Macaca fascicularis: one gene and its partner. The protein of the gene in region 1 interacts with the protein of each later gene in a biochemical or structural test. Links are inferred from orthologs where the notes say so. Each region holds a gene or a part of one and is shown on either strand. Other genes may lie near its edges. The genes, in order: torsin-1A-interacting protein 2 and TOR1A.

The links.
Region 2: the proteins of torsin-1A-interacting protein 2 (region 1) and TOR1A form a complex in vitro, tested with the Homo sapiens proteins (4 studies listed by BioGRID and IntAct, with this or other methods). The link is inferred for Macaca fascicularis from reciprocal best matches to the Homo sapiens genes TOR1AIP2 and TOR1A.

The regions. Positions count from the first base shown.
Region 1 is NC_088375.1:37,363,860-37,371,555, reverse strand, and holds the start of torsin-1A-interacting protein 2, read left to right. Parts: upstream 1-2,420; 5' UTR 2,421-2,531; intron 2,532-2,850; exon of another isoform or gene 2,851-2,985; intron 2,986-7,696. UniProt on the Homo sapiens protein: Required for endoplasmic reticulum integrity. Regulates the distribution of TOR1A between the endoplasmic reticulum and the nuclear envelope as well as induces TOR1A, TOR1B and TOR3A ATPase activity.
Region 2 is NC_088389.1:14,081,130-14,088,950, forward strand, and holds the start of TOR1A (torsin-1A), read left to right. Parts: upstream 1-3,325; 5' UTR 3,326-3,374; coding exon 3,375-3,552; intron 3,553-4,490; coding exon 4,491-4,756; intron 4,757-7,821. UniProt on the Homo sapiens protein: Protein with chaperone functions important for the control of protein folding, processing, stability and localization as well as for the reduction of misfolded protein aggregates.

The DNA of each region.
Region 1 (7,696 bases):
TATCCAGACTATAAGAGTTGCTCAAAAGAGGTGACATTACAGTGACAGTAGACTCATAGCCAATATTATAAGGGATGCGCTGGGCCACTAAAAAAGGAGGCCTCAGCTCTGGATGTTAAAGTTACTTTGGGAATTTGAGAAATCTGGAGGAATTCAGCGACTCATAAAAGAAGACCAGTAAGAAAAGAAATGATTAGGCGGGGCGCGGTGGCTCAAGCCTGTAATCCCAGCGCTTTGGGAGGCCGAGACGGGCAGATCACGAGGTCAAGAGATCAAGACCATCCTGGCTAACACGGTGAAACCCCCGTCTCTGCTACAAAAATACGAAAAAACTAGCCGGGCGAGGTGGCGGGCACCTGTAGTCCCAGCTACTCAGGAGGCTGAGGCAGGAGAATGGCGTAAACCCGGGAGGCGGAGCTTGCAGTGAGCCGAGATCCGGCCACTGCACTCTAGCCTGGGGGACAGAGCGAGAATCCGTCTCAAAAAAATAAAAAAGAAAGAAAGAAAGAAAAGAAATGGTTAAAACAAAGAATACACTAAATAATTCATTTACTTACCAAACATGTATTTTGTGCCAGCAATGAGGAAGATTGCTTTACCTTTAGGGAATTTGCCATTTATTGGGAAAGAGAAACACGAAAAATTACAATTCAGATTAAATGACTGGCATTAATTCACACACTTAACTATTAGGGCTAGGTCTAGAAATCCTGTGCTCTTGCGACTGGGTTCCTAAATCAGTTACTTTGTTTCATTTTTAATTTATTTATTTAGAGACAGAGTCTGGCTCTTTCGCCTAGGCCGGAGTGCAGTGGCGCAATCTCAGCTCACTGCAGCTTCCCGCCACCCCGGGTTCAAGTGATCTCATGCCTCAGCCTCCCGAGTAGCTGGGATTACAGGTGTCTGCCACCGCGCCCAGCTAATTTTTGTTATTTTTAGTAGAGACAGAGTTTTGCCATGTTGTCAAGGCTGGTCTTGAACTCCTGACCTCAGGTGATCCACCCGCCTTGGCCTCCCAAAGTCCTTGGATTACAGGCATGAGCCACCACGCCTGGTCAAAATAAATTATTTTAAATGAAACATTTGAGAACAAATTTTGTACAGGAACTTTTTGCTTAGGGTAAGCAGAAATTCATTTATTTAAAGAGAAATCATCTATCTGTTGTGACTTAGTAGTAGAAATGAAGTGGGCAACACTTAATTTTAATAAGGAAAATATGATTAAAATATTAAACAGGAGGAAGTTAATTAAAGATATAGTAGCTGGCTCCATTTATTCCCCAGTCTTACAAATGATAGAAAAAATATTTTAATGACTTAATACAAATGAAAATAGCTGGAAATGTTATACTGAAATTAAACACAATGAATGGATGGAATATAGTATTCTACTTTTTGTTGAATTAGGAATTGCAGTTAATTATTAAACACCATCCAAGAGAGTTACCATATCCTGTCACTTCTGCCAAAAGAGGATGGTTGAGAAGTGAAGGCACCAAAAAATCACATTAAATGAGGAATTATTAATTCAATAAATACCTGAGCTACTATGTAGTAGTCAGTCCCTGTTCTCTATGATGGGGATACAGCATGAACAAAATTGATTTAAAAAAAAATGTTTCCTGCCTACTTGGAGATTATATTCTATGGGAGGAGTCAGGCAAAAATCAAAATAAGTAAAATAGTGTGTTGGTCAGGACTGTTATGGATAAAACTGAGGAAAGGGGAAGGGAGTTTTACATGAGTAGATTTCTTCTTGAAATTGGTTTAGATTTGTCTTGAATTGGTATAGGTCAAGAACAGGAATTTTAGACTTACTCGATTTTGCCCCCAACAAATTGTATGTTCTTGGGTAAATTGCTCGCCATCTCTTAATTTTCACATTTATAAAATTAATAGATCAAAACAATAGCTATTTTTTTGTCACTACTGTCATTTAGCAGACATACTACATATGTCATCTAATTTACTCATAACCATCTTATGAGGTAAGTAACGTTGTCCCCATTTGACACACGAGCAAACTGAGGTTTAGATTAGGCAATTCGTTTGAGTACATGCTCCTCTTAATGGCACAGAGGGTGTGTTCCAGGACTTGGTGCTTGCCATTATCATTTGGTACTGCTTCTCACTGTGTTGGTCCTATGAGTTTCTTCAGTCTATGAATGTCAGGTCATATGGGTCAGGGTGGTCGACGTCTTACAGAGATGCCTGTAATCCTGTCAGATAGCATGAGAACTCGGGGACCTCCGCGGTTTGGTCGCGCATTTACCGCGCCTGTCGCTGGGTCAGACGACCTGGCAGTAGAGGGTGAAGGATAGAGAAGGCAGAAGGCAGGGCGCGGAGACTACTAGTCCCAGCATTCCACAGGCGCCTTCCGGCGGAAAGTGTTTGTCATATGGGCGGGGACCCTGGACGACATTCGGGCCGCAGCGGCCGCTGGGTGCAGCCGAGCGGTGTGGAGCGGAAAGACCACTCGAAGGGCTCTCCTGATACTAACAGTTCTACGATTTGAAACCCCGCCAGAATTTGTAAGTAAACAAAATGACTATGCAACTTTTCCATGTTTTAGTATTGGAATTAATGTCTTGAATTTTTCAAAAGGACTTCCAGAAACGGCCCCTCCCCACCCCCACCTCCCTACCGCACAAATGGTATTTTAATTTTTATTGTTTTTGAGACAGGTACTTGCCCTGTCACTCAGGCTAGAGTACAGTGGCGTGATTGTAGCTCACCACAGCCTCATACTTCTGGGCTCAAGCGATCCTCCCGCCTCAGCCTCCCAAGTAGCTCGAACTACAGGCCCGCACCACCATGCCCCACTAATAACTTTATTTTTTATTTTTGTAGAGACAGGGTCTCACTGTATTGCCCAGGCGGGTCTCGAACTCCCGGCTTCAAGCGATCCTCCCGCCTCAGCCTCCCAAAGTGCTGGGATTACAGGCGTGAGCCACCACGCCTGGCCTCACTCAAACAGTAAACGAGGTAGGTTGGGGGTATATTTTTGTTTTAGGATAAAAAGAAACTGAATCTTATAAATATTAAATGGGGTAAGATGTGAGTAAATTTTGGGGTTTAGACTTTAATATGAGAAGCAGAATTATTTTAGGGTTCGAAATGTAAGTGGGAAATTTGCCTACTAGTGTAGGTGGCGATTACTCCATGCCCAGCATGCCTAGGATCTCGACATTCTTAATCTTAATCCTGAAAAGATAGTACTTAAAAAAAAAATGGTGCTAAAAAGGGCAAAGTTGAAGTTTCAGTAAGACCTCCTACCATTTTGCTTACATATTATATATGTACATTCTCCCAATTGTATTTAATACCTGATGAAAAAGTTTGTGCCTTTTCCTTCTTTTAACAAAGTTCATAGTACTCTCTACTTTATGAGTAATGCTTAATTATCAGACTTTATACTGTTACACAGATCCAGAAATGAGTTATATAGATTAAACATACTGGTTTTGTTTTACCTGTGTTTAGGTTGTAACACGTTTTCTTTTGAATCTGTATGAGAGATCCTTTCTTTAAGCTGTGGCAGTTATCCATGTTTTTTGAGCTCTATTTTTTGAGCACAAGGTGAGTATATAAAGGGCCAGTGGAAACATTTAATAAAAAAAGGAACTTCATGGTAGAGTAACTACAGATGTTCTTGGAAGCCTTTGTGTGGATTAGAACAGTTTGAAAAACTAACATTTGCTATGAAAATTGAGTGCCTGTCTTCAATAATGTTTATTATGCTGAATGTGCAGTCCACAACTTGATTACCTGTTTTTCTGCAGGTTTGTTACGCAACCTTTCGTGACTCATTTAAGAACTGTTTTATCTAGTTTCTTTCCTAATATAGAGGTAATGCTAGCTTGAGAGCTTCAATAATTCACAAGTAAATTAACTTCAGAATGTAGCTAATTATTTGAGGATTATTGGGTGTTTTAACAATGCATTGTATTTTGTATATAACTTATTTTTGCCTAAGAAGTCATTTCTGTGTTTCATTCATTTCCATGGAACACAGAAGTCAAAACTCTATTCCAGGAAAGTCCACACTTCTTTGAAATGCCACTTGAATTTCCTGAAGGAAAGTTTGCTTCAAGAAGCCTTGTCTGCTTTATCACTTCGAGGTTGTTCACTAAGTTAACTGCGAAGGCCCATAAACTTGGAGATCTGACAACCTCCCAAAAAATTTGAAGAATGAAGAATTGGCTGTTTTATTTACTGTTTAGAATTTTAATTGTGTTAAAATTTCTTTAATATTTCTACATCATATGAACTACTGGATTAAACTGTGTCCCACAAGAAGGAATTCGTAGGGCGATCATACATTATCATAAATTTTGCACAGAAATCAAACATTTGGGAATAAGGAAGGGTGTCCCAATGAGCATAGACTTTGGAGTCATAGCTGGGTTTGAATTCCTATTTTGTCACTGTGTGGGCTGTTTCCCTTTTTACTAGTATTTAAAGGAGCTGACACATGAATTTTTTTTTTTTTTTTTTTTTTTTTGGTGCCATGACTCAGTTATGAACTGTGCACATAATTTTGGTAATCAAAATTTCTGGGAAGAAAATTCACCTATAATTCCACTACCTCAACAACAAATTGTTTGGTTTTTGGAGATTTTCCTTCAGCCCTTGACTATGAGTATATATCATGTAAATGTAATGACATTTTTGGAAAAAGTCAAATTTTAAAACATTAGTGTCTTCTGGGATTTTGTTTTAATTAAATGAAGCTGTTTGGTTTTGCCTGTAGTAGTTCAAATAATAACAATTTACAGTTTTTGAGGACTTCTTTTCTGCCCCTGTGGTTGTCAGTATTGCTCATTATCTCATTTAATCTTCACATTGCCTCTTTCATCTAAGTACTGTTATTCCATTTTATAATTAAGAAAACCAAGGAAAAAGTTAGCCAGGGGCTGGGCACAGTGGCTCATGCCTATAGTCCCAGCACTTTGGGAGGCCAAGGTGGATGGATCACTTGAGATCAGGAGTTTGAGACCAGCCTGGCCAACATGGTGAGACCCCATCTCTACTAAAAATACAAAGAAATTAGCTGGGCATGGTGGCGGGCACCTGTAATCCCAGCTTCTCGGGAGGCTCGAGGCAGGAGAATCGTTTGACCCTGGGAGGCGGAGGTTACTGTGAGCTGAGATCACGCCATTGCACTCCAGCCTGGGGGACAGAGTGAGACTCCGTCTCAAAAACAAAACAAAAAACAAAGAAAACCAAGGGCAGAGAGAGAAAGAGAAACACCAAGTCAGAAGCTGGAGCAGTCATTCAGGCCTAGACAGTCTGACCTTAGAGGATAGTGCTATATTGGGTTTTATGTTTGGTAGATTTGCTTTATGGATGTTAGGTCATATTTGTAGATAGGAGTTGATCCTGGAGGCTGACTTACAACATTCTTTGTATGAAAGTTTTTTGTTTGTTTCTTTTTTGAAACAAGATCTCTCTCTCTTATCCAGGCTGGAGTGCAGTGGCACAATCACAGCTCACTGCATCCTTGACCTCCCAGTCTCAAGTAATCCTCCCACCTCAGCCTTCCAAGTAGCTGAGACTACAGGCACAGACCACCATACCTGACTAATTTTTGTATTTTTTGTATAGACAAGATCTTGATATGTTGTCTAGGCTGGTCTCTGAACCCTTGGGCTCAAGCAGTCTTCTCCTGCTTGAACTTCCTGGGATTATAGGCATGAGCCACCATACCTGACTACGGTATTTTTTAAAGTACTGTATATAACTACTTTTTCTTTTTTCTTTTCTTTTCTTTTCTTTTCTTTTTGAGACAAGGGCTTGCTCTGTTTCCCAGGCTGGAGTATAGTGGCACTATCATGGCTTACTGCAAACTTGAACTCCTGAGCTCAAGTGATCCTCCCACCTCAGTCTCCCAAGTAACTGAGACGATAGGCACACACTGCCATACCCAGCTATGTTTTGTATGTTTGTAAAGATAGGGTCTCACTGTGTTGACCAGGCTGGTCTCAAACTCCTGGCCTGACATGATTCTCTCACCTTGGCTCCCAGAAGGCTGGGATTAAAGGCATGAGCCACTGCGCCTCCCGCCCCTACCCCCCTTTATAACTACTTTGATCACTAGATTTTTTTTTTTTTTTTTTTTTTGAGACGGAGTCTTGCTCTGTCACCCAGGCTGGAGTGCAGTGGCCAGATCTCAGCTCACTGCAAGCTCCGCCTCCTGGGTTTACGCCATTCTACCGCCTCAGCCTCCGAGTAGCTGGGACTACAGGCGCCCGCCACCACGCCCGGCTAGTTTTTTGTATTTTTAGTAGAGACGGGGTTTCACCGTGTTAGCCAGGATGGTCTCGATCTCCTGACCTCGTGATCCGCCCGCCTCGGCCTCCCAAAGTGCTGGGATTACAGGCTTGAGCCACCGCGCCCGGCCGATCACTAGATTTTTAACAAATGTTGTAGGAAAATAAAGAAGATAAGGGAAATGTTTAGTTCCTTAACAGATGAGGCCATTCACCTATAGTTTTATTAGTTGTAGTAAAAATATAATTTATATACAAGGCAAATTATTAGGTCTAAGTTTTCCTTTTTTTTTTTTTGAGATGGAGTCTCGCTCTGTCACCCAGGCTGGAGTGCAGTGGCATGATCTCGGCTCACTGCAAGCTCTGCCTCCCAAGTTCATGCCATTCTCCTGCCTCAGCCTCCCAAGTAGCTGGGACTACAGGCACCTGCCACCATGCCCGGCTAATTTTTTTGTATTTTTAGTAGAGATGGGGTTTCACCGTATTAGCCAGGATGGTCTCGATCTCCTGACCTCGTGATATGCCCGTCTCGGCCTCCCAAAGTGCTGGGATTACAGGCGTGAGCCACTGCGCCCGGCAAGCTTTCCTTTTTTAAAATTAAAAATATAAGATTTATAATGAAGGAAAACTAACTTTAAAGCAATGCTCCTTAAACTTTATAGTGAACACCAGAGTCATCTGGCAAATCTGTTAAAACATAAACTCCTGCCAGAGGCTCTCAGAGATTCTGGTCTAGTGGGTCTAGGTTGGGGCCTGAATTTGTTCTTTTAGCAAGTTCCTAGGTAATGCTAATGATTCCTAGCTAATGAGTTGAATATAGTAAGGAAACAAACACACTTGTTGTCCATATTGTTGGCTTGATAGTTATACCCCAGTAGCACTGAGCATTCAGATCTTGGTTTGTAAAGGCACTAGGACTTTTTAGAGAAGTGGCTGATTTCAGTGCGGAGGCAGAGAAAATACAAGATGAGCCTGAAACATCCTGTGGTGCTTGAAAGTAAGGAAATGCTAGAAAAAGTTAGGGACCTTGTCAAAAGGAGCCAACTTGAAGGAGTTCCTGGTATCCAGGTTGGAGCAATTTGAGCAGTAAAATGAATAGTGATAGTATTGGACTTTAACCCATAAAATAAAATGAGTTCATACTGATATTGCTGAATAAATAAGTAGGGGAGAAGGGACAACTCTTTCTAACAGAAGAATTCCAGTTAGTAAACATTGAAGGAAAGAAGGAAATACAAAACCACCATTAGGGAAACAGTACCGTTAGTAGTTGCAGACAAAATCCAGTTAGAGGACAATCAGAATATTTACATAGTTTCAAAGTATCTCTCCCAGGATAATTATTAACTACAAAGAAAAAATAGTAATCTGACAGTGGAGATACTATGTTAAAAAAGTGATTAAGGTTAACATCACCAGTAATA
Region 2 (7,821 bases), on another chromosome or scaffold:
TCCATTGATTAGAGTGGGTCCAACTGACAGAAAAATCTAGGATGAGATCAGAAGGATACTGGTGTTTTCTGACTTTTACAAAATTACTTGTTTGTTTTCATTTAAAAAAAAGCATAAACTATGTTTCTTATTACTATTAGAATTGAATTATTAAATTTCAAAATGAATCTAACCATATTGTTTGTATTATGTTTCCTTATACCAACATCAGGTAATGTTTTCAAAGCCCATGGTTTGGGTAGCTAAATGTAAAATTGAATTACTGAGATGGATTTTCTCATTTATTTCAAATGTCATAGACGTGCTGCAACCTGCTAACTGTCAAGTACCTTCTTACCTGTGCCCTCATTTTTCCTGAGGCATCCACATGGTCCGGAAGAGGAAAGAGCAGATTGGCTGACTTACGGGCGGAGTTAGAGCAAGTATTGTGGTTATGGTGGTTTGGCCCAGGAGTCACATCTGAGCCCAGCTCACAGCTTACTAATTGTGTCCTTGGACAGATCCTTTTCACTCTTAGCCTCAGTTTTCTCATCTGTAAAGTGGAGACTTTTTTGTCCTCCTCCACTTGAATGTGGTCAGTGAAGGCAGGAACCATGTATGCCTAATTTTTAAATTTGAAACCCCAGGGCATAGCCCACAATCTGACACATAGGCAGCCCTCAAAACTGTGAATGATCCCTATAGTGTCTGGCTTGTAACAAATGCACAAAAGTATTATTTGAAATCCAATATGAAAAGTTGAACCTTAAAAAATATTTTCAGGATATTTCAACTAGCATTTAACAGGTCCCAACGATGTACAGGCGTAACCCAAGATGAATACTAAAGGCCTAGCACATCTGGCACACAGCAACGCAACACGTGTTTATGGGATGAACAGGCAAATAAGTGGATGATCAACAGTTCTCACTTGCCAGAGTTCCCTTTGCTGGAAAATGAGTAATCTTTTACCCAGCTTAAAAGTGGCCACCAGATGGAGGGAGCCAGGTCTCTCACTGTTGGGGTGGGAATTCACAGATAAGCAAGGGGAGGAGGCTCCAATGATCCGTGTAATGGATTAGAGTTGGAGATGTCAGCATGAGCTCATGTTTAGCTTAATATAAGTACAGATGTTTACCTAGAAATATTTATAGATATGTGTGTGTGTTTAATAGTATATACACACATTTTTTTGTTCTGTCAGCTGAGACTGCCTGAAAGAAATGACATCTCAGCAAGAAGCACACCTAGCACCCAGAGCTTGGTTTCTTTCTTTTTTTTTTTTTTTTTTTTTTTTTTTGAGATGGAGTCTCGCTGTCACCCAGGCTGGAGTGCAGTGGCATGATCTCGGCTCACTGTAACCTCCACCTCCTGAGTTCAAGGAATTCTGTTTCAGCCTCCTGCATAACTGGGACTATAGGCACATGCCACCATGCCCAGCTAATTATTTTGTATTTTCAGTAGAGATGGGGTTTCACCATATTGGTCAGGCTGATCCCAAACTCTTGATCTCAGGTGATCCACCTGCCTCAGCCTCCCAAAGTGCTGGATTACAGGCACGAGCCACCATGCCCAGCCAGTTTGTAATGCCATTCTACAATGAAAGGAATCAGGGTTCCTCGTAGAAATAGGATTCTGGGACGGGGGCAGGAAATATACAAGATGAGCCTGGAGCATCCTGTAGTGGCAGAAAGGAAAGAAGCACTCAAACCCAAATAAACTGGTATACACTGGGTGTAGGTCAAAGGAACACAAAGAACCACTTAAATTCCCCGTGGCCAAAATGAGAACAATTTGAGAAAAAAAAAAATTAGTACTGTATTATAACACAAAGGATAAAATAACAATGGTCCATACTGATATAAATGATTGAATACATGGGGGAGAAAAAACAAATCTCCCATGCAGAATTCCAGATAATCTCTGCAGATACTCTGCTCCCAAGGAGGTGGAGCAAAATCCCTAACTCCTTAATGTGTGGGCTGTGCATGGGGACCTCCTTCCAAAGAGTACAGTAGAGAAAAGAGGGGTGGGGAGAAGAATAAGTGTACAGTGCGGAGACTTGATACTACCTCAGTCAAGTGATCAAGTCAGCACCAACAGTGATAGGTAATGTTGACAGTAAGAACCCTTCCTTGGTAGAATGTGATGAGCATAGCACTTTACCTTTGTGATCTTCCTTCCAAAACCCCATAGCGCTAGTCTAATCCTGAGAAAAACATCAAATTCCAGTAGAGGGCCAGCCTACCAAAGATTGTGGCAATACTCCTCAAAACTATCAAGGTCATCAAAAATAAAAGGCTGAGGCCAGGCATGGTGGCCCACACCTGTAATCCCAGCACTTTGGGAGGCTGAGGTGGGTGAATCACAAGGTCAGGAGATCAAGACCATCCTGGCCAACATGGTGAAACCCCGTCTTTACCAAAAATACAAAAATTAGCCAGGTATGGTGGTGTATGCCTGTAATCCCAGCTGCTCGGGAGGCTGAGACAGGAGAATCACTTGAACCTGGGAGGCGGAGGTTGCAGTGAGCTGAGATCACACCACTGCACTCCAGCTAAAATAAAAATAAAAATAAAAGGCTGAGACACTGTCACTAACAGGAGTCTAAGACATAACAAATTAATGTATCCTGAATGGAAACCTGGAGCAGAAAAAGGCATAAGTAAAAGGAAGGAAATCCGAATAAACTGTACACTTTAGTTAATATAACAACAGTGCTTCGTTAATTTTAACAAATGTAATACACTAATAATGTAAGAATTTAGTAACGGGTAATTGCAGGGAGGTGTGGCACATGGGAACTCTGTACTCTTACAATTTTTTCTGTAAATCTGTTCTAAAAATTAACGTCCATTATTATTTTTTTGGGGGAGGGACACAGTCTTGCTCTGTCGCCCAGGCTGGAGTATAGTGGTGGGATCTCAGCTCACTGCAACCTGCGCCTCCTGGGTTCAAGCGATTCTCATGCGTCAGCCTCCCCAGTAGCTAGGTGCCTACCACCACACCTGGCTGATTTTATATTTTTAGTAGAAGACGTGGTTTCACCATGTTGGTGAGGCTGGTCTCGAACTCCTGACCTCAGGTGATACACCCGCCTCAGCCTCCCAAAGGGCTGGGATTACAGGCGTGAGCCACCACGCCCGGCAAAAATAACGTCCATTACTTTAAAATAAACAAACAAAAACACGTGGCCGACGGGGGCGGTGCAGATCCGACCTTCCGGAAGCAAAACAGGGCTTTGTACCGAACAAAGATGGCGGCCGCCGGCGTCGGGAGGAGGGCTGCCCTGAAGAAAGATGGCCTCCGCGCGAGGAGGAACCGGAAGCGCGGGTCTGGCGGCGGTACTGGTTCGCGGTCGGCGCGAGAACGCGCAGGGTGGCGCGGGTCCGGGCATGAAGCTGGGCCGGGCCGCGTTGGGCCTGCTGCTGCTGGCGCCGTCCGTGGTGCAGGCGGTGGAGCCCATCAGCCTGGGACTGGCCCTGGCCGGCGTCCTCACCGGCTACATCTACCCGCGTCTCTACTGCCTCTTCGCCGAGTGCTGCGGGCAGAAGCGGAGCCTTAGCAGGGAGGGTAGGCAGGGGCGGGGGCTGGGGCGGGGGCTGGAGGCTGGGGCGGGGGCTGGAGGCTGGAGGCTGGAGGCTGGGGCTGGGAGATGGCACTAGGGCTGGGCTAGGACCAGGGGATGGAGGATGGAGGATGGAGGCGGGGGGATGGCACCGGGGCCGGACTAGGACTAGGGCTGGAGCGGGGCTTGGGGGCTGGGCGATGGCACTAGGGCCGGGCCGGGCTGGGGCTGGGGCTGGTGAATCGCACTAGGGCCGGGCTAGGACTAGGGCTGGAGCGGGGCTTGGGGGCTGGGGGATGGCACTAGGGCCGGGCCGGGATAGGGATCAAATCCCAGGAGGGCCGGGCCTGGGCAGAGCTGAGTCCGTGCGGGCCGGACCCCGGAAGCCGAGCGACCCCTGCAGGATGAGGCCTGGCCCCTTGGCCACCACAGACGGGCCAGACTTCAGTTGGAGACCTGAGGAGCCGGGCTGCAGGTTGGCCTACTTTGTGCTAAGCTGGGGGTGGACCGGTGGTAATCTCCCTCCGAAGTGGGCTCTGCTTCCTTTATAGCCTAGCGGGAGACAGGAAGGATGGTGAGGACTTCTTCGGAGCCGACCGGGAGGGACCAAACTGCTTTCTTTCCCCGCCCTGCCTTGGGGTGGGAGGAGCAGCACAGGGGTTAGAGGTGCAAACTGGTGGCAGTGGCAGTGGCAGTGGCACCCGCACCAAGGGCCTTTTCGGGAAGGAACCGGGCCAGGGCTTTAGAATAGGCAGGACCAGCAAAGGGAGGGCTCCCTGGACCACCGTCCCCTCTGGGCCAGGAGCTTACAGACCGCAGTACTTGAGGTTTCACAAGGTGCTTGAAGAGCTAGACGGCTTTGCTGACTTTCTCATGGGCTGTAAATGTGGCTGCCTTTTGTCACTGTTTCTTCCCCACTCCTGATTGGCTTTGTCTCCCCCAGCATTGCAGAAGGATCTGGACAACAAGCTCTTTGGACAGCATCTTGCAAAGAAAATCATCTTAAATGCTGTGTTTGGTTTCATAAACAATCCGAAGCCCAAGAAACCTCTCACCCTCTCCCTGCACGGGTGGACAGGCACCGGCAAAAATTTCGTCAGCAAGATCATCGCAGAGAATATTTACGAGGGTGGTCTGAACAGTGACTATGTCCACCTGTTTGTGGCCACATTGCACTTTCCACATGCTTCAAACATCACCTTGTACAAGGCAAGGATGGGAGTTTGGAATCCCTTCCTGGATGTCGTCGGGTTTGGGGTCTCTTCGTTGTGGGATGAGATTTGGAAATTGTGTTGAAATGAGTGAGCCCTGAAAATGGTTCACGTCTCAGTTCCCCTTGGAAAGGTGTAGAAGTTAGAGTTTGAGATGCGTGGAGCAGTTAACACCATCAAAGCTTTGTGGTGGGTTCTGAAAATCGGTCCAGTGAGTTTGTAGGGTCATGGGATTTTAGAGGTGGACATGATCTAATCCATCTTAGAGATCAACACATCTCACTCGTTTTTGTTTTTTTTTTTCCTTTATTTTGAGATGAAGTTTCACTCTTGCTACCCAGACTGGAGTGCAATGGCATGATCTCAGCTCACTGCAACCTCTGCCTCCTAGTTCAAGCAATTCTCCTGCCTTAGCCTCCCAGGTAGCTGGGATAACAGGCTCCTGCTACCATGCCCAGCTAATTTTTGTATTTTTAGTAGAGATGGGGTTTTGCCAACTTGGCCAGGCTGGTCTCGAACTCCTGACCTCAGGTGATCCGCCCACCTCAGCCTCCCAAAGTGCTGGGATTACAGGTGTGAGCCACCATGCCCGGTCACATCTCACTCATTTTGTGAAAGAGGAAACATATGTAGAGAGTCCTAAGTTTGTTGAACCTACTGTTGCAAACTGCCCTTTTTTTTTCTTTGAGTCAGGGTCTCACTCTGTTGTCCAGGCTGGAGTGCAGTGACGCCATCTTGTCTCACGGCAACCTCCGCCTTCTGGGTTCAAGCGATTCTCCTGCCTCAGCCTCCCGAGTAGCTGTGACTACAGGCATGCACCACCACACCCGGCTAATCTTTGTATTTCTAGTAGAGATGGGGTTTCCCCACATTGGCCAGCCTGGTCTCGAACTCCCGACCTCAAGTGATCTGCCCACCTCAGCCTCCCAAAGTGCTAGGATTACAAGTGTGGGCCACCTCGCCCAGCGGCAAACAGCTTTTATGGTTGAACTCACTGATTAGCAGCTTGGGCTTTGGCAGCAGACACATCTGGATTTGAGTCCTAACACTCTCCCAGCTCCATAGTCTTAGGACAGTTGCCTGACCTGAGACTCAGGTTCTGACTTACAAAGTGTTGCTTGTAACAATCCAGGGAACTCTGTCTGTCAAGTGTGTAACATGTGCCTGGTGCATGTTACAAATAAATGTTAACTGTTGCCTTTTAGATCCTTGTAACAGACCTGCAAGGTGGGCAAAAGTTATTATTTGTTTATTTTTTGAGACTGAGTTTCACTCTTGTAGCCCAGGCTGGAGTTCAATGGCACAATCTCCATCTGGGCTCACTGCAAACTCTGCCTCCCGGGTTCAAGTGATTCTCCTGCCTCAGCCTCCCAAGTAGCTGGGATTACAGGTGCCCGCCACCACACCCAGCTAATTTTTGTATTTTTAGTAGAGACAGGGTTTCACCTTGTTGGCCAGGCTGGTCTGGAACTCCTGACCTCAAGGTGATCCACCTGCCTCTGCCTCCCAAAGTGCTGAGATTACAGGCATGAGCCACCATGCCTGGCCTCAATCAGTTATTTATCCCTGACTGTATCCATGGAAAAACGTGAACACATTTTTCCCTTCTGTTTGGGTAAGCACGTGGGTCACCCACTGTCCAGCGGTTCTGTCCTGAAATGCGAATGTCCCATGGGTGTGGTGGCTCACACCTGTAATTCTAGCATTATGGGAAGCCAAACCGGCTGATCCCTTGAGCTCAAGAGTTCCAGACCAGCCTGGGGAACATGGTGAAATCCCATCTCTACTAAAAAAATACAAAAAAAAAATTAGTCAGGCGTGGTGGCACGCACCTGTAGTCCCAGCTAGGGGCCTGAGGCAGAAGGATGGCTTGAACCTGGGAGGTCGAGGCTGCAGTGAGCAGAGAGCCACTGCACTCCAGCCTGGGTGACAGAGTGAGACCCTGTCCCAAACAAGCAGGAACCATTCTAGAGGAATCAGGATGAGTTGGTCATCTTAGAACTGAGGCTTCACTAACAATAACTGTGACTTTAGGCAAGTTACTTCACTTGTCTGTGCCTCAGTTTTCTCATTTGTAAAAGAAGGAGCACAGTGGTAACTACCATGATGGGTTTTGGGAGGTCAGAGTAAAATATTTTATGAACAGACCAGGCGCGGTGGCTCACACCTGTAATCGCAGCACTTTGGGAGGCCAAAGCGAGTGGATCACCTGAGGTCAAGAGTTCAAGACCAGCCTGGCCAAGATGGTGAAACGCCATCTGTACTAAAAATACAAAAATTGGCCGGGCGCGGTGGCTCAAGCCTGTAATCCCAGCACTTTGGGAGGCCGAGGCGGGCGGATCACGAGGTCTGGAGATCGAGACCATCCTGGCTAACACGGTGAAACCCCGTCTCTACTAAAAATACAAAAAGAAATTAGCCGGGCGTGGTGGCGGGCGCCTGTAGTCCCAGCTACTCCGGAGGCTGAGGCAGGAGAATGGCGTGAACCCGGGAGGCGGAGCTTGCAGTGAGCCGAGATCGCGCCACTGCACTCCAGTCTGGGCGACAGAGCGAGACTCCGTCTCAAAAAAAAAAAAAAAAAAAAAAATACAAAAATTAGCTGGGCGTAGTGGCAGGTGCCTGTAATCTCAGCTACTCAGGAGGCTGAGGCAAGGGAATCGCTTGAACCTGGGAGGCAGAGGTTGCAGTGAGCTGAGATCACATCATTGCATTCCAGCCTGGGTGACAGAGCAAGACTCTGTCTCAAAAAAAAAAAAAAAAAAAAGTTGTATGAACAGTGCTTAGAATATTCCATATAAGTTAGTAGGTCACCAGAGTAGGAAATCTTGGCTGCTGGAGCCTAACAAGTCTGAATGAATCCTTGTTTATTTCATTTTGTTTTATTGTTGTTTATTATTATTTGAGACAGAGTCTCACTCTGTCGCCCAGGCTGGAGTGCTGGACTGTAGTGGGGCAGTCTTAGCTCACTGCAACCTCCGCCTCCCAGGTTCCAGCGATTCTCAAGCCTCAGCCTCCCAAGTACCTGGGATTACAGTCACCCGCCACTACGCCTGGCAAATTTTT